Linked DNA regions of Anolis sagrei. The protein of the gene in region 1 interacts with the protein of each later gene in a pairwise test. Links are inferred from orthologs where the notes say so. Each region holds a gene or a part of one and is shown on either strand. Other genes may lie near its edges.

Region 1 (11,692 bases):
AAACCGAATCTAAAGTTGGCCAAAAACTGATTCATAACCATTTTGGTACTAATGTTGGAGAATGGTCCCTGGTCAAAGTGGTTCCTGGTTTAAAAAAAAAAGGTTGGGAAGCACCTCCCTGTGTGTTCTCATTGTCTCAATCTTCCTTCTTGCCACAACAACAAACCAATAAATACATCTGTTCAGGAGCAAATAATGTATATGTGCAATGATTTTCGGTTTGGTAGTAAAATGGCCACCTGCTTAAGAAAGCACTGTGCCAACTTTCAGTTTCCTAGACTTTTGAATAAGGTGGGATCCAGCTGACATTAGAGAAGGGATAGGGTTTGACGCCACTTTAACTGCGTTTAAAGGCTATGGAATCATGGGATCTGTAGTTTGCTCACCCTTTGGCAGGAAAAATGACTTTGTGCAATGATAACTCCAGTGGTTCCACAGCCTTGAACTTAGACAGTGGTGTTTGCATTACATGCAGGCATGGGCAAACTTCGGCCCTCCGGGTGTTTTGGACTCTAACTTCCACCATTCCTAACAGCCTAGCGGCTGTTAGGAATGGTGGGAGTTGGAGTCCAAAACACCCGGAGGACCGAAGTTTGCCCATACCTGCTTTAGAATCATAGAGTTGGAAGAGACCTCATGGGCCATCCAGTCCAACCCTCTGCCAAGAAGAAGGAAAATTGCATTCAAAGCACCCCTGACTGATGGCCATCCAGCCTCTGTTTAAAATCCTCCAAAGAAGGAGCCTTCACAACACTCTGGGGCAGAGAGTTCCACTGCTGAACAGCTCTCACAGTCAGGAAGTTCTTCCTAATGTTCAGGTGGAATCTCCTTTCTTGTAGTTTGAAGCCATTGCTCCAAGTCCTAGTCTCCAGGGTAGCAGAAAACAAGCTTGCTCCCTCCTCTCACATATTGATACATAGCCCTCATCATGTCTCCTCTCAGCCTTCTCTTCTTGAGGCTAAACATGCCCAGCTCTTTAAGCCGCTCCTCATAGGGCTTGTTCTCCAGACCCTTGATCATTAGAGCCACTGGAGAGTAGTGTCACTTTATGATGCAGCTGCTCCTTTTCCTCTTCCTGAACACACTTTTATTGTTCTGCAGAGAAGGAAACAAGGTTCCCCCCTGAAAGCCCACCAAGAGGTGGCAGGAGGACAGGCAGCACGCGCATCATCCTCATCATCCTCATCACAAGGCGCGCCTCCTTCCAGCCGCAAGGGGACCCCCGGGGCTCCTCAGCCTCCACTGCAGGCCCCCAAGGGAAGGGAGGAAGGGAGGAAGGGGGACACTCTACCCCAGGGCCCCTCCCTCCCTCCCTCCTCCTTCCCTCCCGCACCCTCTTCCTGCTGCTGCTGCCTACCTGGTAGGGGGGCGGCGGGGCAGGGAAGGGCGGCGGGGCCATCGGCGGAGGGTCCCCGGGCCCCAGGCTGGCCCCGTCGCCCGTGGAGTCGTTGAGCAGCGACAGGTCATCCGCCGCCTGCGAGGAGAGGCAGCCCCCCATGCCCGCCCCAGCCCCAGCCCCAGCCCCCGCCCGGGGTCCGGGCCACCTTCCTCGGCCAGCGCCGGAATGGAGGAGGAGGAGGCGGCGGGGGAGGAGGAGGAGCAGCAGCAGCAGCAGGGGCGCCCGCGCGGCATGCCGGGAAGCGTAGTCCCGGCACCCAAGGACTCCGCGCTTGCGCACTGCGAGGAGACGCTTGGCCCAAGGTGGGGAGACGTTTAGAGAGGGAAGGCGCAGAGAGCGCCGTGTTCTTCGCCCTGAGCTCCAGGGTCACAGTCCAGTGCAGAAGGCACTCAGCCACGCCAGCTCCTTTGAAATCTATTTATTTATTTATTACTAGCTTATTTATGTATTCATTTACCTTATTTATATACCGCTGTTCTCAGCCCGAAGGCGACTCACAGCGGTTCACAACAAATACGAACAGCAAAAATTCAGTGCTACAGTATAAAAACAGTTAACAACCTAACATACACAATTAATAACAGTCACTACAATACCCATTCACTGTCGTCTCATCATCAAAAACATGTTCCAGATTCATCATCCATTGTTCCATTCCAGTGTTCATTAACCAATCATTGCACTAATTATTGGAACGCCTGCTCAAACAGCCAGGTCTTCACTTTTTGCGGAATACCATTAGAGATGGTGCTAGTCTAATGTCCGTAGGAAGGGCGTTCCACAGCCGAGGAGCCACCACCGAGAAGGCCCTATCTCTTGTCCCCGCCAGCCGTGCTTGAGAAGCAGGCGGGATCGAGAGCAGGGCCTCAAAGTCCTGGTGGGTTCATAGGCCGAGATGCGGTCGGATAGGTAGCTTGGGCCGGAACCGTTTAGGGCTTTAAAGGCCAACGGCAGCACTTTGAATTGAGCCCGGTAGCAGATCGGTAGCCAGTGGAGTTGGCGCAGCAGGGGGGTTGTATGCTCCCTGTGCTCCGCTCCTGTTAAAATCATGGCTGCCGAGCGTTGGACTAGTTGGAGCTTCCGAGCCGTCTTCAAAGGCAACCCCACGTAGAGAGCGTTGCAGTAGTCTAAATGGTCCGTCCTCGAAACCGCACCAGAATATTGAGTTGGCCATGGGGGTTCTCTGTGCCAAGTTTGGTCTTTATTGGTAATTGGAGGAGTGTTGCTATGGTCTCAGGAAGAGAGTGAAGGTACTGCAAGTCCCATCATCCATGGTCTATCCTCCTCCAAACTGCACCAGGATGTAGAGTGGGTCATGGGGGCTCCGTCTGTAATCCAAGTTTAGTTAGATCTAATGTTGACTGGGTTCAGTGGGTGCGGTTAAACTACTACTCCCATATGTAAGTCCCATCATCCATGGTCCATCATCCCACAGACGGTAGCAGGATGTAGAGTGCATCATGGGGACTATGTGTGCCATGTTTGGTCTTGATCTGTCACTGGTGTGGGTCACAGTGGTCTCTGGAAGTGAGTGAAGGTACTGTAAGTCTCATCATCCATGGTCCTGCCTCCTCCAAACCACACCAGGATGTGGATCATGAAAGGTTCTGTGTGCCAAGTTTAACCCAGTCATTTGTGGGCATCACAATAGTGTGTGGGAGGTATATTGGATGCATATACTGCAAATCCCATAATCCGTGGTTGGGATTCCCACCAAACTGCACCAGGACATTAAGTGGGCCACATTGGGTCTGTGTGCTAAGTTTAATCCAGGCTCATCATTCATGGGGGTTGTAGTGATCTCTGGAAGTAAGTGAAGGTACTGCAAATCCCATCATCCATGGCCCATCCTCTCCCAAACCACACCAGGATGTAAAGTGGGTCATGGGGGTTCTGTGTGCCAAGTTCAGTCCAGTTCCATCATTGGTGGGCATCACAGTGGTCTGTGGGAGCCAAAACAAATTGAAAGTACTGCAAATCCCATAATCCGTGGTCCATCCTCCCCCAAACCACACCAGGGGGTCATGGGGATTATGTATGCCAAGTTTGGTCCAGGTTAGTTATTTGTGGAGGTTGCAGCAGCCTGTGGAAGTGGCAGCCAATCAGAAAGCTGCCAAATACACCACCCACCACACACATACAAACACTGAATTTTATTATATACATATATTTATTATTTATTTCAAACATTTGTACCCCGTCCTTCTCAACCCCCAAGAGGGGACTCAGGGCGGCTTACAATTGGCAGCAATTAGATGCCAACATATACACCATAACAATATAACACAGATTCAATGTGTTAACATTAATTAAAACATTAAATTATAAAATACACATTTAAAACATTATTACAATAACAACTTGCGTTCAATTGAGAGACCCAGTCCAAAGCCTGTGCATTATCAATTCAAATACAACATTGCAAGTGCTGTTAAGCCAGCTGCCCAAACGCCTGGTCCCAAAACCATGTTTTGAGCTTTTCCCGAAGGAAAGGGGAGATGGAGTAAATCACATTTCCCTGGGGAGTGTGTTCTAATACATGGCATTTATCTATCATTTCTACAGGACCTGATGCACTGTACTGTTCATATTAATGTTACTAGAATACTAACTGGATGTCAGCTGTGACCAGCAGTGTTGCAGAATTCAAAGAAGCACGAATGGAGGGTGAAAGGGAGAAACGTGCCAAGTGGAAGGTGTGTCAAGCCAACCCTGACTGGGACCGCCTACCATCTGGAAATCGATGTCCTCACTGCAGGAGAACATGTGGATCAAGAATATGTTCCACAGCCACCTACGGACCCACTGCCAAGACACCACATCTGGAATACCATCTTCCTTAAGCTACGAGGGATTGCCTAACAACAACAACTAGAATAGTGAAAAAGGCAGCACCCTCAAACCCGTTCTCCACAGAAGGGAAGCAACATATTTGCAGTTGAAAGATAGCTTGTATTGCTTTAACACAGGCATAGGCAAACTTTGGCCCTCTGGGTGTTTTGGACTCCAACTCCCGCAATTCCTAACAGCCTACCGGCCAAAGTTTGCCATGCCTGCTTTAAAATCAAGGGAGAGTATCTTGGATTTCAACTCCCACAATTCCTAACAGCCTATGAGAATGATGCTGGGGAAAATGGAAGGAATAAGGAAGAGGGGCCGACCAAGGGCAAGATGGATGGTATCCTTGAAGTGACTAGCTTGACCTTAAAGGAGCTGGGGGTGGTGACGGCCGACAAGGAGCTCTGGTGTGGGCTGATCCATGAGGTCATGAAGAGTTGGAAGCGACTGAATGAATGAACAACGTATTCCCCAAATACATACTCCTACATGACTTCTCTACAGGATAAACTAGAAAAATAATAACAATAATACATTTTATTAATTATCTGCCTCTCCTGATGGCTCAAGGCAGGGTACAATAAATTGAAAAACAAATCAACATAAAATAAATTACATATATAAACACACACACATGAAAACTTATACCAAACACAGCTACAGAATTGCCATATAGTGGTAACAGAATGCAGATCAAAATTCATGGTTGAAAGTTAACTGGTTAGGAAGAGATGGGTCTTCAATTGCGTCAGGGGTCAGGAACCTTCGGCCCTCCAGGTGTGGTGGACTTCAACTCCCACAATTCCTTGAGGCTCGGTAAGCCTTTGGGGCAAATGCCGAGCCTCAAGGAATTGTGGGAGTTGAAGTCCACCACACCTGGAGGGCCGAAGGTTCCCCATGCCTGAATTGCGTGTTAAATTCCAACACTGTTTAGCTGTTTGAAGAGTTGGAAGAGACTACAAGGGCCACCCAGCCCAATCCCCTGCCATGCAGGAAAAATCACTAAAGAACTCCTGACAGATGTCCATTCAGAATCTTACGTATGCATGTATGCAGGCAGAACATTGCCTCTGACTGACCAAGGGGATCAAGTTCCCACAGCAAGATGGCCAGTTTTGCACAGGACACTTGAGGCATGATCCTTCAAACAAGGTAGCTTGAAGGGGGCAGATCTGTCCAGCTGTTTCCAAATCTTCTTCCGACTCTTTTGCTTCAGGAGCCAAGCAGGGCACAAATATCTGACATTGAAACCCATCTAACCTGTTCATATTGTATCACAACCATGTTTTTTCTAAAAAGAAGGAAAAGCTATACCTTTAAGGTCAAATTTTTGCTATTATCTTTATTTTTTGTAATCTTGTGGATTTGAGCTCCATTTGGACCTTACATCCACACTTTTGGGATGGGCCCCTGACCATTGCATTTGTTTCCCAGGACAGCTTTCCAAATTGTGTGTCAGGACACATTGTGTCAGCTGTTATTGTGCTATTTGTAAAAATGTAAATGAAAGGTTTTCATTAGGTATGTTGTGTCTCTATTCCTTCTTTGCTACAATTTATACGTGCATTCATCTCTCCTATAAAGGGTTGCCTGAACCTCTGCTTGGTTAGTACAACTGAATTACTGTGTCGCAAAATAATATATATCTAACAAATGAGAGCTGGACCAAAGGGAAGGCTGAGCGAAGGAAGACAGATGCTTTTGAACTGTGGTGCTGGAGCAAAGTTCTGAGAGTGCCTTGGACCGTGAGAAGATCCAACCAGTCCATACTTCAGGAAATAAAGCCCGACTGCTCATTGGAGGGAAGGATAGTAGAGGCCAAGATGAAGTATTTTGTCCACATAATGAGAAGACAGGAAAGCTTAGAGAAGACAATGATGCTGGGGAAAAAGGAAGGAAAAAGGAAGAGGAGCTGACCAAGGGCAAGGTGGATGGATGGCATCTTTGAAGTGACTGGCTTGACTCTGAAGGAGCTGGGGGAGGTGACGGCCGACAGGAAGCTCTGGCGTGGGCTGGTCCATGGGGTCATGAAGAGTCGGAAATGACTAAACGAATGAACATGTGTCACTAACGTGAAATGTGTTATCGAAGGCGTTAATGGCCGAAATCACTAAGTTGCTTTTAGTTTTCTGGGCTGTATGGCCACATTCCACATGCATTTTCTCCTGACGTTTCGCCCACATCTATGGCAGGCGTCCTCAAAGGTTGTGAGGTCACAACCTCTGAGGATGCCTGCCACAGATATGGGCGAAACGTCAGGAGAGAATGCTTCTGGAACATGTCCATACAGGCCGGAAAACTTACGGCAACCCAACATGAGATGCTTGGCAAGTTCTGCCCTGGGGAGCCAATCTGCATCTCTCCCCTTCTCTTTCCGCAGCAGGGCTCCACATGCGGAAGCAGCCCGCCCTGCTTCTGGGCCCCGTGGCCTGTCTTGAGGGCCAATGGCAGCGGGTGCGCCTCCCTGCGGTGACGTCACCCGCCAGCCTTGGCGCGCTGCTCACGCGGGCCAATGGGGTGGGGTAGGGGCGTGGCTACCGCCCTTTCCTTGGCGGCCACATGACGCACTCGGCCGGCGGTCGTGCCTCGACGTGCGCAAGCGGCTTGGCTCCTCCCGCTCCTCTTCCTTTTGCCGGTCACGTGAGCGGCAGGGACGGCGGCCGGCCCGGCTCATCGCCCGCGTGTCGCGTTCTCCTCCAGCTCGCCGCCCCCTTTCCGCCTCCGGAACCGACGCCGCCGCCTGGGCCTGGGCGCGCCGGGAGCGAGCGGGCAAGTACGGGGACGGGCAGGCCGAGGGGGAGGAGGAGGAGGCCCCTCAGCGGAGCCCCGCCGAGGGGGAGGAGGGGGAGGCCGGGAGTGAGGCGGGCGGGCGGGGCCTGAGGGCGGGGGTCGGGACAAAGAGGAAGAGGAGGAGGAGGAGGCCCCGCCGCCGGCGCCGCCGCACACAAAGGGGCCCGCGCGGCGTGGAGAGAGCGGAGCCGGCGCCACACGCGCGCCTTAGTCACGCACCAAGAGCCCCTGCTTTCCAAACAATAGGGAGGGGTCCGTTGTTTTTGTAAAAAAGAAGAAGCCCTCAGCCGCGACGGGATGCCGCCCCACACGAAGCGCCCGCTTCTCGGAGGCCTCCCGCCTTTGGAGGAGGGTGGGAGGGAAGGAAGGAGCCGAGCGCTGCCCTGGGCGACCGGCCAGGCCTCTTTTGTCCCGGGAGGCCCTTGATCGCGCGAGGCTGGTGTCACGTGCCCCCGGGGCCCCGTGGGGAAGCGGCGGAAGTGGCCAGGGGGGCGCCGGGGAGGGGACCTCGGGCTGAGCACGTGCGCTGCCCAGCCTCCGGCCCACGCGCTCATCCAGAGGGGCCTCAACTTTTCTTCCAGGAGTGACCCCCTTCCCGCCCATTTTTACCTGGCCTCAGGTATCTAGGACTACATCGCATGGGTCTAGAAATCAGGCGTTTACTGAAAACAAAGCAGCATTTGCAGTGCTGAGTTCCCTTTTGGTGGAGTACAGCTGAAGCATCTTCTGCAGAGTCCACTGTAAACACTGCGCCTTGTTGCTAAAAGATTTTTGGAAATGGTGGCGTTTAGAAACACTTTTCTGTTGCCAATTTTTCTTTTGAGCAAAGGGGGACCCCACAGGATCCACGGTTTAATAAACAGTGATTTACCAGACTAGAAATAGGAGCGCCCCCCCCCCCCCCATGGCCAACAGGACAGCTGACCGAAAGATCAGTGGTTTGAATCTGGGTAGCAGGGTAAGCTCCTGTCTGTCAGCTCCAACTTTCCATGTGGGGACATGAGAGAACCCCTCCACAGGATGATAAAACATCCATGCCCCACCCCTCAGGCAACAGCCTTGCAGATGGCCAATTCTCTTACACCAGAAGTGACTTGCAGTTTCTCATGTTGCTTCTGACACGAAAAAAGCCAGACTAGAATGGCCCTTTCTTGACATTAGCTGAGCATCCCATATCCAAGATATGCCCAAATCCCAAATTGTGCACGTGGGTGTGCATGTGGGTGACTGAGAAAAAGTCGCCTTTACTTTCAGATGGATCAGTGAAAATGTTTTGTGCACAAAATTATTGTGCATAGAATTACCTTCAGGCTATGTATATAGAATCAAAGTTGGAAGAGACCCCAAGAACCATCCATTCCAACCTTGTGCCATACAGGGACACCCAATCCAAGCACCCCAAACAGATGGCCATTCAGCCTCTGCTTATAAATGTCCACGAAGGAGGCTCCACCACACTAATGCTTTCTAATGTTTAGGTGGAATCTTTTCTCCTACAATTATTGTTGTTGGTTGTGTGCTTTCATTGTATCAGGAGTATGTATTGCTTCATTGTATCAGGAGTATGTATTGCTTCATTGTATCCAGAGTAGCAGAAAAGAAGCCTGCCCCCTCCTCAATGTGACATCTTTCCACATATTTAAACATGGCTATCAGGTTTCCTTCTCAGCCACTTTTCTCCAGACTAAGCATATCCAGTATAAGATGCATATCAGCCGAGTTTATCAGATGGTTTGGCGGGGGGGGGGGGGGGGGGTTGGACTGTAGTTTGAAAAAGACATGAGTGAATTCCTATTCACACTGCATGTATCTTATTTATAATGCCAAAAAATGAAAGAACAATAATTATTTTAAGTGAAGAACAATTTTAACCAACATGAACTTAACATTATTTTAATGGGAAGTGTGCCTGCTTTTGGTTGATGAGACAGTCAAGATGTTGTGTGCCTTCCAAGTTGTTTCACACTTAGGGTGACCGTAAGTCTAAAGTTTAGGGCTGGATCAATTTACTTGTGGGCCGCATTTGGCCCATGGGCCTTAGTTTGGGGACCACTGATGTATAAGAAACAAAACCTCACAACCTCTGAGGATGCTCGCCACAGATGCAGGCAAAACATCAGGAGAGAATGCTTCTAAAACAGTGGTTCTCAACCTGGGGTCCCCAAATGTTTTTGGCCTTCAACTCCCAGAAATCCTAACAGCTGGTAAACTGGCTGGGATTTCTGGGAGTTGTAGGCCAAAAACATCTGGGGACCCCAGGTTGGGAACCACTGTTCTAAAACATGGCTATACAGCCCGAAAAACCTACAGCAACCCAAATTTAGACTTGAGTCCCATTTCCAAGATACCCCCATTATGTAAATATTCTAAAATTAAAATAAAAGACAGAATACTCCTGGTCATTCCAGATAAAGAATACTTAACCTGTATTATTGCAACAGTTGGATTTTAACATTGAGATTGTGAATGATCCAAGGGGACTATATTTACAGTCTCTTGAAATTCAGAGAAGGAGCTACCAGTGGGGCCTCCACTTGCTTTTTCACTCTTCCTTGAGAGGATTTTTCCAAACTGAAGATCTTGCATTTCAGCTGGCAGTATGCTCCATTTTCTAGGGCTTACTAGCACACCAGTGAGCATATGGCTCCAGCCTACTATTAAGTCTTTGCATGGGGGCCCTTTAAGCTTTCGTTCTGATAATTAGACTCAGAATTAATTGGTAATTGAAGGTATTGAATTCAAAAGTAATACGCCTGTGGTACATTTATTGTAGGTAGTAGTTGCAATAGAAAATAAAAATTGACATAAAGGTTCTGATGACTTACTAAATTTAAAGTAGGCTAGTGACTTCTTTGAAGTAGCCGAATGCTTCCATAAAAGGGATATTCAATCTGCAATAAGATTTAGAAGGGATCACACAAATAAAGAATCTCAAAGGCCTGGTGAAAGGATATCTAGTTGTGTTGCTAATTGATATAACTGGCCGTATTTAAAACATGCCTATGTCAAAAAATGTCATAGATACAAAATATGCCATGCAGTATCTAGAGATTGGGAAATGCAACACATGCACAGCCCTGCAAGAAGATGTCTGGATTGCATGCGATACATGTTTAATAATTGCATTGTAGCAGACATACCTGCTCATACATAATTTTACTAGGTAGTTTCTGCAAACCTGATATAATCAGGAGCAATAATCACAACAACCTGATGGTATGACCAGCTGCTTAAATGTAGAGAGATGTAGGGTTACATATTCTTCTATTATCTATGGGAAAGACAAGACAACCTCTGCAAGTCCCTGATTAGCTTTTGACAAGTCAGTGCTGCAATGCTAAATGCTAATTTCTGTATTAATATATCTTTCTAGATCTTGATAGCAAAGTCCCCTGATATCTGTGGCATTTAAATCCCTTTTAATTTGTTGTATTCCTTTTCTTATCCAGGTTTATTTATTTATTTACCATATTTGTATACCGCCTTTCTCAGTCCGAAGGCGACTCAAGGCGGTTTACAGTCTGCAACAATTTAATGCCCCAATACCATAAAATACAATTAAAAACATTAGCATATAGGTTGAAGCAAGACAGTATTCTTTTTCCTGGGTTAATTGTTTTGATTGCATATAGGTGCAGTGTGTGAAGTTCTTTCTTGTTTGACATTGCCTGAAATACCTGAGTGGCATTCTGAAGGAAGTGGGTTTACTGTTGGCTGTGCATTTGATTCCAGTATTTCTTTTTAGATCACTCTTGTACCTTTTCCAGGTAGGCGGTTTCCATCATGGATTGGCAGCCTGATGAGCAGGGTCTCCAGCAAGTACTTCAGTTACTCAAAGACTCCCAGTCTCCAAATACAGCAACCCAGCGGATTGTACAAGACGTATCCTTGAAATTATTAAGGTTTCTATAGACATTTTTTCAGATGGTGTCAAACAAAACAAATTTCCATTTATAGGGAACTACAAATTACAGGGGAAAACAGCAATTGATAATACATTATTAGTGGGATAGGCAAATACTCCAGAGATTAGCTATGAAGTTATATTTTTGGGATGCAGCAAAAATCTATGCCTTCGTCTTTAAAACATTAGGGTCTCTTTTCTCTAAGGATTTGGTTTGAATTAAACTATTATGCAGATGTGGAATTTACCTGAATTTTAAGAATATTTTCTTAACTAGTATTTCAGAAACTGAAACAGCTCAACCAGTTTCCTGATTTCAATAACTATTTGATATTTGTCTTGACGCGGCTGAAATCTGAGGGTATGACTATTAAATATGTCACAACAAAATTTAACAAAAATGTCTGTGTGCATGTATATGTGCTGAGTTAGTATCAAGTTTTTATTATTCCCTAAATCTGTGGTCAAATTAAAGTTTTTCCCAAAAATGAATTTCTAAGAGCATTCTAGCCAGTTAGTGGCCTGAATAGTCCAGAAATGATCAGGCATGATTTAGTGTATTGAGAGGGGCTACTCAGCCCCTCAGGTCTGAGATGACAATTTGACCTGCTCTCAGCTGTGCTTTCTTGTGAAAAAGTGGATTGAATTCTGCAGCCTGCGGTGGTTAGAAAAATGCACTCAAAACTTGTAGTTGTTTTTGTTAGCTGTTTCTTGCGATTTTTGCCTTTATATTGGAGTTTAACCTAATTTGTTCAAGGAAG
Region 2 (11,553 bases), on another chromosome or scaffold:
ATTCAAACTGCTGACAGCATAAGAGTTTAACCCATTGTGCCACCAGGGGCTCCTCATATCTAACTAATATATGCATATTGCTACCATGAAAATAGTTGGATCTAGCAAGCCCTACCATAAATGTTCAAACATTTCCATGTGGATTAATTAAAACAAAACCCTTAAATCTATGTGAGAAGTTAAAAAGCAACAGCATCCTTCGCTGTGCACAACAGCCAAAACAGAAACACACAGAGCTATAAAGATACACACAAATCACAATTGCTTGGAAATGCCTCCTAATCGACCTAGTGGATCTCCTTCTATCTCTCAGGGTCTTTCCATATAACCCAGAATATCAAGGCAGAAAATCTCACAATATCTGCTTTGGACTAGATTATCTGAAGGCACTTCCACACAGCCCTATAACCCAGAATATCAAGGCAGAAAATCCCACAATATCTGCTTTGAACTGGATTATCTCAATCCACTCAGATAATGTGGGATTTTCTGCCTTGATATCCTGGGATATAAGACTGTATGGAAGGGTCCTGAGTCCACACTGCCATATATTCCAGTTCAAAGCAGATAATGTGAGAATTCAGCTGTATAGAAGGAGCCTAAGCAACTTACTCCTGATGTTGTACCGTATTAGGCTGCATTTCCCATTTAATTTCTCACGAGTAAACTTGAGTTAGATCAAACTGTCAATCCCAGGCTTTAGAAGGCAGCCTAAGAACACTAGACTTTTAAACTGTGAGAGCTCCACTATCTAGTTCACAGTGCATGCAAAAACAACACACTCATAAACTTTGCCTATAAAAATATGATCTCAACTAAGCACATCCTTGTCTTATGGTTTTTGCCAATCTGTTAAGAGAAAAATTAGGGCACCAATGAAAGGTCTTCAGACTGAACGAACAGTTCCATTCATTTCCGTGCTCACAAAAAGGCCAGAAATTAACATGAAAGTACAGATGTTAACAGAGAATAATCCGTAATCCTCAACATCCCTATACAAGCACATCAGGGTGGATTTACCAAGAGCAAATATACCACCATAAGGACTACTTTCATTAGTCGAACTACCCAAACATATAGTTTATGGGACATAATCCATTGGGAAATTCTCCTGCACAAGCCTCCCTGAAAAGAATGGGAAGCCGAATGTTGTACAACATCCATCAATTCCAGCAGAGCTTGCTTATAGCATTGTATATTGAAAAATAGGTCTTATATATACACTGTAATGTAAGTGGGCAAATCTGGAAATCATAAAGAGGAAAAATGATATGCTATACATTCCTTTAAAACAAACCCACTTCATTTAAAATACAGGCTCGGCTCACAGATCATGTGATGAAATGAAACAGATTTTCAGCCCCAAATGTGAGTGAAGCAGATCATTTTCTCTCTCTCAAGGGTCCCTCTGTTAAATATGCCACAATGAATTAAGATCATGTGTAAATAAAATAGGAGAGCGTGATTCAATTAAGATTTGACCTCCTTTTCTTCTGTAAGAACTCCGATAAGAGGAAAAAAAGGTATTTCCTCAAAATGTAATAACAGATCTAACATCAAGATGACAACTCTAAACAGCTCATGTAACTAGCACTGGAGGCAATCTAGGCAGCAGAATGGAAATATGGGGGGCGGGAGGTAAATGTACTCTTCCAAAGACAGAAATACACAGAGGGCCCTTCCACACAGCCATATAACTCAGAATATCAATGCAGAAAATCGCACAATATCTGCTTTGAACTGGGTTATTTGAGTCCACACTGCCATACATTCCAGCTCAAAGCAAATAATGTGAGATTTTATTTAGCTGTGTGGATGGGACCCGAGGAAAGGATGAGAGATGTCCCCATTTTCCCTCCATTTAGTCAACACAACAATCCATGCTAAATATAAATACATAATGCTCTGTAAATACCCACCCCTTGCTGACAGCTTTTTAGTGTTGATAATTTTGGCAGCATACTCTTGTCCCGTTGTGATTTTCATGCATCTTCTCACCACAGAAAAAGCCCCCCTGCAAATCAATAAATCAGAGAAATATCAGTGTCAGCTGGGACTTTGCTCCTTCAGAAAGGGACCAATAATCGGTGAAGATGTCAATTTGAGCAGTGTTGATACAGAAGGCAGGGAAATGAACACAACATTAACCTTAATTGATATGGACTGCAACAGTAGATTATGTCTGAGATGTAAGCACGAGCCCTATTATTAAACTGAGTGAATATATATACATCTCATTACAAGTGGCATCAAGAATCGGCTATGGTTTATAACAGGTGTGGTATACATCTTTCTCAGCTTTTTCTGCCAAAGCCATTAGATATATATACATTCCTGTGATGGAATGGCCTTTTCCCCCCTTTAAAAATGGCACTGAGTAAATAAAAGGCCCTCCTCTCATCCTGTAAACATGGCATTCTGTGTTTATTTAAGCGTAAACACTCTAGTCTCGCTGGAGTGGGTAGGATGCAATAAATCTCAATAGAAACGGTTGGGAGCCAGAGCATTCATTTACAATGCCCTGGCTGAGAAAGAAGCCTGGAATTCGGAGGGCTGTGTATAACACATTTGCTACCTTGGTGGCATCAGGCAAACATTTTGAGGTCTTTTCTATTTCCAGAATTGACTTTACACTTTGGGGATCATATATATGAAAACACAAGGGAAAGCAAGGTCAGTGTACTGAATCCCAAGCGCTCCTTTCCCATCACAACAGGCAGTGGAGGTGATGATGTCTTATGCCATACACTGATTTCTGTCGCTATTTTTTATTATTATTTTGAAAACTTAAATGGGCATTCCTACTTGAGCCATGCATGTGAACCAGAGGCCCATTCCCTTCGCTCCTGTGGACGCCCCAGTTTCTTCCATTCCCACCCAAGACAGGTGAGAAGGGGAGAAAATCCCAAAACTCATCTGATGAAGGATTTTGTGGATTGCTCTGAGTTTTCCGAGCTGTATGGCCATATTCCAGAAGCATTCTCTCCTGATGTTTCACCCACATCTATGACAGGCATCCTCAGAGGTTGAGGGGTCTGTTGGAAACTAGGCAAGTGAGGTTTATATATCTGTGCAATGCCCAGGGTGGGAGAAAGAACTTTCCTCTTCTTGAGGCAGGTGTGAATGTAGCAACTGGCCACTTTAATTAGCATTCAATGGTTTGGCAGCTTCAAAGACTGGCTGGTTGCTGCCTGGGGAATCCTTTGTTGGGAGGTGCTAGCTAGCCCTGATTGATTCTTGTCAGAATTCTGTGAAGGGAGGAAGTGGAAGGGAAGCTCGGCATGGAGGAGTCGCTCGACCTGAGAGCGCTGAACTTTCTGCCTCGGTAAACGTGGCACCTCGAGCGTCTGAAGCGGAAAGCCGGCTTCGTCCGCGGAATGGGGGCAGCTGCGCCTCCTTCCTTCCTTCCCTCCCTCCCCACCGGCACCTCGGCCTTCCGCCTCCCCCTCTTTCTGCCGCCCTTCTTCCGCGGGGACTGGGCTGGAGCTGCCCAGGGGTGGGCTCCCTTCTCCCGTGAGGAGATGCTGCCAATGACCCTGGGCCAAGGGCGGGCCGAGGCACGGAGCGGACTTCAAACACACCCCTCCCTTGGAAGGGGATGAAGGCCCACATCCAGCCCATGCGCGCCTGGCCTCCCAGCCCTCAAAACGGACCCATTTCCCCCTTGCCTCTTTCCATCATCCCTTCCTTCTTCCCTTTCCTTCCTTCCTCTCCCTCTATATTCCCTTTTCCCTTCCCTCCCTTTCCCTCACCTCTTCTTCCCTTTCCTTCCTCTCTTCCTACATTCCTTCTTCCCTCTTTCCTTCTCTCCTTTTCCATCACCCCTTCCTTCTTTCCTTCCTTCCTCTCCTACTATATTCCTTCTTTTCTTCTCTCCCTTTCCAGCATCCCCTCCTTCCCTCTTCTCTCCCTTCCTGCGTTCCTTCCTTCCCTCCCTCTTTCCATCATCCCTTCCTTCTTCCATGTCCTTCCTTCCTCTCCTACATTTCCTCTTTCCTTCTCTTCCTTTCCAGCATGCCTTCCTTCCCCCTTCCTTCCTGCGTTCCTTCCTTCCCTCCCTCTTTCCATCACCCCTTCCTTCTTCCCTTCCCTTCCCTCCTCTCCTCCTACATTCCCTCTTTCCTTCTCTCCCTTTCCAGCATCCCTTCCTTCCCTCTTCCCTCCTTTCCTTCCTTCCCTCTTTCCATCATCCCTTCCTTCTTCCCTTTCCTTCCTTCCTCCTATATTTCCTCTTTCTTTCTCTTCCTTTCCAGCATCCCTTCCTTCCCTCTTCCCCCCTTCCTGCGTTCCTTCCTTTTTCCCTTTCCTTCCTTCCTCTCCTCCTACATTCCCTCTTTCCTTCTCTTCCTTTCCAGCATCCCTTCCTTCCTTCCCTCTTCCCTCCCTCCTTGCATTCCCCCTTCCTTCCTTCCTTCCTTCCTTCCTTCCTTCCTTCCTTCCTTCCTTCCCTCCCTCTCCCCGCGGGGCCACTCACTTCCCGAGCTCCTCGAAGAGCTGGTACTCGTCGGTGAAGCGGGTGCAGGTGGCGGTGGAGGCCATGGCGGGCGCGGGGGGCTTCGGCGGGAGGAAGCGGCGGAGCGAAGGGGGCCTGGGCAGCAGCAGGAGCGGCGGCGGCGGGAAGAGGAAGGCGAAGGCGCGGCCGCTTCCCTTGCCTTTGCCTCGCCGCCTGGGCTGCCTCGTCCTCGGCGTCGTCGTCCGGGCGAGCCCTTCTGCCCGCCCCCTCTTGGGCAGCTCCTTTTGGGCGTCCCCGGGGCGGAAGGAGGGCGGGAGAGAAGGGAGGGCCCACACTTCCTCCCTCTCCCCTTCTTTTCGGGGTTGGGCTGGGAAGGAGGCGAGTCTCGGCAGCAGCAGCAGCAGCAACTCCGACGGCAACCGTGACGGGCTTAATAATTATCCGTCCCGAGAGAGAGAGGGAGAGAGAGAGAGGCGGCGGACTGGAGCCGAGGAAGCGAGGGCGACAAGTGTCCCTTTGGAGGCGACCTGGGATGCCCTCCTGGGCGCAGTTCCCTTCCCGACGCCCAGCCTGGCCACGCAAAGCCACTCTGCGCTTCAGGTCAAGCCAGGCTGGCGACCAGCAGCCCCTTCCTTCCTTCCTCGCTGTCTTCCTCTTTCCTCCCTCCCTTCCTCAGGCTCCAGCTTCTCCTCCTCCTCCTCCTCTCTCGGTCCCACACCTCCCTCTAGCGACAGCCGGGCTCTTCCTCTCGCCGGAGCGCTGGGCAGGAAAGCGGCGCGCTGCCCGCCTGACCTCTCCCGCTCTTTCCCCTCCCTCCCTTCCTCCTTCCTTCCTTCCTTCCCTCCCTTTCCTCTAAGCCTCTGTTGACACACACGGAGCGCAGTCCTTGAGAGCTCCACGTCCTCGCCAGCCCTCCAAAATCCTTTGGCCTCCCTAAACGGGTGTTTGGGAAGGGGGTGGCCGTCTCACAGGCACCCACCAAGGGAAGGGCTCTCCCTTGATTTCACGGCTCTTTTCTATTTTGGTTGCTCTTGTGTGGACCAATAAGTCTACACATTCCTGGCTTTCGGAAATGCTCCTCTGAAGAGGAAAGAGGCTTTTCGGGATACCTCATCATCTCCCCTCCCTTTCCTTTTTTGAGGGGAGGAGGAAGGAGCCCCACCCCCGGGGTGATTCCCTCCTTTTCCCTCCCCTTTGCTTTGGGTGGCGTCACAACCCGACACGCGCGCCCGCTCAGCCACTCTCTGGGTGGAAACGCAGCAGCGGGGAGGGGGGGGGGGGGAGGAAATTAAAGCGCCACTTCCAAACTCTCGCGAGACTGTTGCCAACCTGGTTTAAGGAGAAGGCGTCGTTGGGATGCTGCTTGTAAGAGAGCTTGTGAAGAGGGAAGAATGCAGTTGCCAAAGGGGGGAAAAAAGGCACAGATTCCAAGGCAGCATCTTCCACTGCTGAACAGCTCTCGCTGTCAAGAAATTCTTCCTAATGTTTAAATATTAACAAGTCAAATTGATCTAAATCAGGGGTCCTCAAACTAAAGCCCGGGGGCCGGATATGGCCCTCCAAGGTCATTTACCCGGCCCTTGCTCAGGGTCAACCTAAGTCTGAAACGACTTGAAAGCACACAACAATAAAAACAATCCTATCTCATCAGCCAAAAGCAGGCCCACACTTCCCACTGAAATAGTAATAAATTTATATTTGTTAACATTGTTCTTCATTTTAATTATTGTATTGCTTTTAAGTGGTTTTTGCACTACAAATAAGGTATGTGCAGTGTGCATAGGAATTCATTCATGTTTTTCCAAATTATAATCCGGCCCTCCAACAGTTTGAGGGACTGTGACTTGGCCCTCTGTTTAAAAAGTTTGTGGACCCCTGATCTAAATGTTCAGGCAGAATATCTTTTCCTGCAATTAAAATCCACTTCTCCATGTCCTAGTCTGGAGTTAGGTGCCACCTCTATGCAGATGACACACAACTCTACTACTCATTTCCACCCAATTCCAAGGAGGCCTCCCGGGTCCTGGACAAGTGCCTGGCCGCTGTGTCTATCTGGATGAGGAGGAACAAGCTGAAGATCAATCCAGACAAGACAGAGGTCCTCCTGGTCAATCGTAAACCTGACCGGGGTATAGGGTGGCAACCTGTGTTGGACGGGATTACACTTCCCCTGAAACCACAGGTCCACAGTTTGGGAGTCCTCTTGGATTCATCGCTTACACTTGAGGCTCAGGCGTCGGCGGTGTCTGGGAGGGCTTTCACACAATTAAGACCCGTGCGCCAACTGCGACCGTACCTTGCGAAGGCTGATCTGGCCGGGGTGGTCCATGCCTTGGTCACCTCTAGATTGGATTACTGTAATGCGCTGTACGTGGGGCTGGCCTTGAAAACGGCTCGGAAATTTCAACTGGTCCAACGAGCAGCAACCAGGATGTTAACTGGCGCTCCTTACAGAGAGAGGTCAACCCTCCTGTTCAAGGAGCTCCATTGGCTGCTGTTTATCTTCCGAGCCCAATTTAAGGTGCAGGTGCTTACCTACAAAGCCCTGAACGGTTTGGGACCACCCTACCTGCGTGACCAAATCTCCGTCTACGAACCCACGCGTTCTCTCCATTCATCTGGAAAGGCCCTCCTCGTGATCCTGCCTGCGTCGCAAGTGCGTTTGGTGCGGACATGAGGCAGGGCCTTTTCCGTGGTGGCCCCCGACTCTGGAACACCCTCACCAAAGATCTTAGACAGGCCCTACATTGGCAGTCTTCAGAAAGAACTTGAAGACCTGACTGTTCCGATGTGCCTTCCCAGAATAGGAAATCTCCAATACCAAGTCCCAGAAGCACTTTATTAGAACTAAGATTGCCGCACTCTGCACATTGCACTTACCCAATAATCCTTACATATCACCTGTCACATCAGCACTTTTAATTCTGTACCCTTTACTCTGGCCCGGCCAGGTTTTATTGTGTTTTGGTGTATTGTTTATTGCTTGTTGTTTTGCTGTTTAATATTGCTTTAATTGTTTTTAATTTGCTTTAGGTTTGTATTGTTATGTTGAGTTTGAGGCCTTGGCGTTTGTAAGCTGCATCGAGTCCTTCGGGAGATGCTAGCGGGGTACAAATAAAGTTAATAATAATAATAATAATAATAATAATAGTCTCAGAGCAGCAGGAAACAAGCTTGCCCCTTCCTCAATATAGCATCCTTTCAAATATTTAAATATGGCTCTCATACCCACCCTGGAAGTCACTCCATTATCTGGCTCAAAGATAGTTGTCATGTTAAGGATTGCATTGAGAGGTTGCATTTCTGTGCACACTTTTAACAATCCTCACTGAATGCAATGGGGTTTTGGAGTGATTAGGTATTGCACTCTTAGGCATGCGTATCTGTAAACCTCATGATTTTCCTGAACATTTTGATGCCACCCTCTTATTTCTCAGTGTCCCTTTTCAATCCTGATTATATGTATTTTAAGTTTTCATTGCATCAAAGCATTTCAAATGAAGACATTTAAAATACAGATCAAAATTCAAAGATATAACTGTTGACAACTATAATTATAAACTGAGAAGTTAACCATGGCCGAAAAACAACTACTCAAAAATCTGTAACATTAAATTCTTGTCAGAATTCATGTATGATGTTGTTTCATAGTGGTACATGTCAAGCTAGACCAGCATTTCTCAACCTAGGGGTCGGGACCCCGGGGGGGGGGGGGAGGTCATGAGGGGATTTCAGAAGGGTCACCAAAGACTATCGGAAAACATATATCTTTCTTTTTTTATTATTAAATTTTTATTGATTTTAAATACGTATACAAAATACAAAAGAGTTACAACACATGTGAGAGGTAGGGCAAGGGAGAGGGAGAAGAAGAAAAAAAGGGGGGGGGGGAATGGGGTATCTTTCTGATAGTCTTAGGAACACCTTTGGCAGAGAAGGCCGAAGATCTTTCCACCTATCCTTTTCTTCCTTTTTGGAAACAGATGGCAAATCCTCCTACCATAAGCCCCCCCTGCTGTGATTGGCTGGCCTCTCAGCCAAGGGGAGAGCTGTTTCTGAGACTCCACACAAGGAGGGGGGAGCAGGCGTGTTCGGTGCATGGCAGCGTGGTGCACATGTGCGGGAGAGGGAAAGTATGTGAGGTTGGAGGGAGGCTTGCACCAGTGAGTCCCTTCAAGGCATGAGGGTTTTGTGAGGAATGTTTGGCCTAATTCTATCATTGGTGAAGTTCAGAATGCTCTTTGTAGGTGAACTATAAACCCCAGAAATTACAACTCCAAAATGTCAAGTTTTATTTTCCCTAAACTCAACAAGTGTTCACTAGGCCTGGGCGGTTTTGTTCGTTAATTTTGTAATTTGTTAAATATTCATTATTTTTAACAATTACAAAATGATTACAAAACTTATTTTCAAACCCGGAAGTGTTTTTAAATATCGAAACGGCTATCCTCCATCTTTTTTACGAGCTTCCGCCCGTTTCGGAAATGACGTTTTAGGGATGGAGGATGCTGGGTGCGCCGGGAGCCAATCCGGCGCTCCCAAGCACCGTGGCTCATTGTGATTGGGCGGGCTGCCCTTTAAAAGCGGCTCCGCATGGCCGCATTACTCATTGCGAAGGCGAGGAGACGGGAGGTGCGGGAGGGAGGCATGGCTTGCTTGCATTCATTCATTGCTTGCATTCATTCATTCATTCACATTCATTGTTGGGAGAGCGAGGGCGGTTTAAGGACCTGGGCTGGGAGCAGCGGGGAGGCTTTGCCTTGTTTTCGCCCCACAACAGGGCAGGGCAAGCATTTTGTTAATTTTCCATTTTTAAATATTTCTGATAAATATTTCTTTTATTCTTAAAAAAAATCAAAAAATATTCTAAAAAAAGAAAAAAAACTTGTGTGCCTGTGTGTGTGTTTGTCCCTGTCCTGCGGCTGTGTTTGCTCCACAACAGGGCAAGCATTTTGTTAATTTTCCATTTTTAAATATTTCTGATAAATATTTCTTTTATTCTTAAAAAAAATCAAAAAATATTCTAAAAAAAGAAAAAAAAGTGATTTGCGCATGCGCGCGGGGGGGGGGGTCTGCCATCTTAACGAATCGATTCGTTAATAATAACGAAATTTCGTAAATACCGAACCCTTTTAAAGGAAAATTTTGTAATTCTTTTAAATAACAAAACGCAAAACCCCCCCAAAAACGAATCAATTTTAGAAACAAATTTTTGCGTTGTTACCCAGGCCTAGTGTTCACATTTGGGCATATTGAGTATTTGTGCCAAGTTTGGTCCAGATCTATCATTGTTTGAGTCCACAGTATTCTCTGGATGTAGGTGAACTACAACTCCAAAACTCAAGGTCAGAGACCAAACCCTTCCAGTATTTTCTGTTGGTCATGGGAGTTCTTTGCGCCAAGTTTGGTTCAATTCCACCATTGGTGGAGTTCAGAATGCTCTTTGATTGTAGATTAACTATAAACCACAGCAACTACAACTCCCAAATGACAAGATCAACCACCACACCCCACAACCCCACCAATATTCAAATGTGGGTGTATTGGGTATTTGTGCCAAATTTGGTGCAATGAATGAAAATATATCCTGCATATCAGGTATTTACATTAAAATTCATAACAGAAGCAAAATTACAGTTATGAAGTAGCAACGAAAATAATTTTATCATTGGAGGTCACCACAACATGAGGAACTGTATTAAGGCGTTGCGGCATTAGGAAGTTTGAGTTATTTAAATACTGAACAGACTTATTATTTCCAATTCGTATGTGTGTTTGCATGCCATCATTGAGTTTCTTCCCATTTATAACGGAAACAGTAATCTAATCTTCTGCCTCAGTCTCCATAAACAAAGAATCAAGTAATTGCAAAATAATAACATTCCACCCCACCTCTTTTAGTTCAGGATATTTTTCCAATTTCAAAACACAATGAGCTTGTGGTTGCATGGTTCATTGTAAAGATAAATGATTTTAATTTTCAAATTATGAGTCCAGACATCACCAGCATGTCAGTGTTAGTTTTTAACTCAAGGGAGACATTCTTTCATATTCTTACTGAAGTATATATAAACTGATTTATAATGCAAAGCAGGGATAGGTATATAGAATATAATTAAACCAATGAATATAATTTCTGAAGCAATAAATGCCCATGTCTTCCAATTAATGTGGGTTAATTGGAAAAAGGCATGTGTATAATTTCATTGTGTAACTGTATCTGGGTACTTTACTTAGCTCATCATTGGCATAAACCGACACCAAAGAGAAGAAAGCATGCTATGAAAGAAAGACTTCACTAGTGGCTTTTAGGAGGGTATGCTGGCTTACAAGCAGCTAGATTTTCCCCTGGATATTGTTTACCTTGTAATGTGGTTGATATTAAAGAAAAACTGGAAGTGAAATATATGATTTTCTGAAAATATATTGTTGATATGTGCTTTCATGCCACTTCTGACATATTACAACCCTAAGAGCAAATCTGTCATGGTGGGGTCTTTGCAAGAATTGCTCATGGAGGGTTTGCCTTTACTTTCCTCTGAGATCAAGGGTTTGTGAATCGCCCAGTGTCACCCAGTTTGAACCCTGGTCTCCAGAGTTGTAGTCCAACAATCCTAAAACTATCAATTATTTTCATGAATAAGATACCATTATAGAATGTAAACCCTAGTAATATATATAGTATTTATTCCCTGTCCTTAAAACCCTTATGGCAGTGTTGCAGTAGGAATAAAAATACAGTAACAAACTATCACTAGAAAAGTAACACTATGTGAATAAAATACAGTAGCAAAAGATCTGTATAAAACAGTATCTCAAATAGAAAATCACAGAGCACTATAAAAGCTAGCTTTTGTAATAATGTGATGAATAACCTGTCATATACAATTGGAACCCGAATTTTAAGAAAGAATCAATCCATTAAAAGTCAATTTCTTGAAAGTCAGCCAACTGTCTGAATAAAAAGATACCATAAGGATACTAAATAGATCTTAACCTTCCTTGGCAGGGAATTCTATTTCTTGGTAATAGGAACTAGAAGGCCATCATACAGATTGCTTTGTGCTCCTCTTTGCTACAACAATCTTTGCACATTTCCT

Evidence for each region.
Region 2: the proteins of TNPO2 (region 1) and CAMK2D interact in binary tests that used the Homo sapiens proteins (3 or more experiments, as listed by UniProt). The two-hybrid records come from large-scale screens. The link is inferred for Anolis sagrei from reciprocal best matches to the Homo sapiens genes TNPO2 and CAMK2D.

The regions. Positions count from the first base shown.
Region 1 is NC_090022.1:111,816,830-111,828,521, forward strand, and holds the start of TNPO2 (transportin-2), read left to right. Parts: upstream 1-6,800; 5' UTR 6,801-7,006; intron 7,007-10,798; 5' UTR 10,799-10,810; coding exon 10,811-10,909; intron 10,910-11,216; coding exon 11,217-11,292; intron 11,293-11,692. Other genes in the region: RING finger protein 11-like, read right to left, coding at 1,358-1,498. UniProt on the Homo sapiens protein: Probably functions in nuclear protein import as nuclear transport receptor. Serves as receptor for nuclear localization signals (NLS) in cargo substrates.
Region 2 is NC_090025.1:33,135,579-33,147,131, forward strand, and holds the start of CAMK2D (calcium/calmodulin-dependent protein kinase type II subunit delta), read right to left. Parts: upstream 5,600-11,553; 5' UTR 4,540-5,599; coding exon 4,475-4,539; intron 2,015-4,474; coding exon 1,920-2,014; intron 1-1,919. UniProt on the Homo sapiens protein: Calcium/calmodulin-dependent protein kinase involved in the regulation of Ca(2+) homeostatis and excitation-contraction coupling (ECC) in heart by targeting ion channels, transporters and accessory proteins involved in Ca(2+) influx into the myocyte, Ca(2+) release from the sarcoplasmic reticulum (SR), SR Ca(2+) uptake and Na(+) and K(+) channel transport.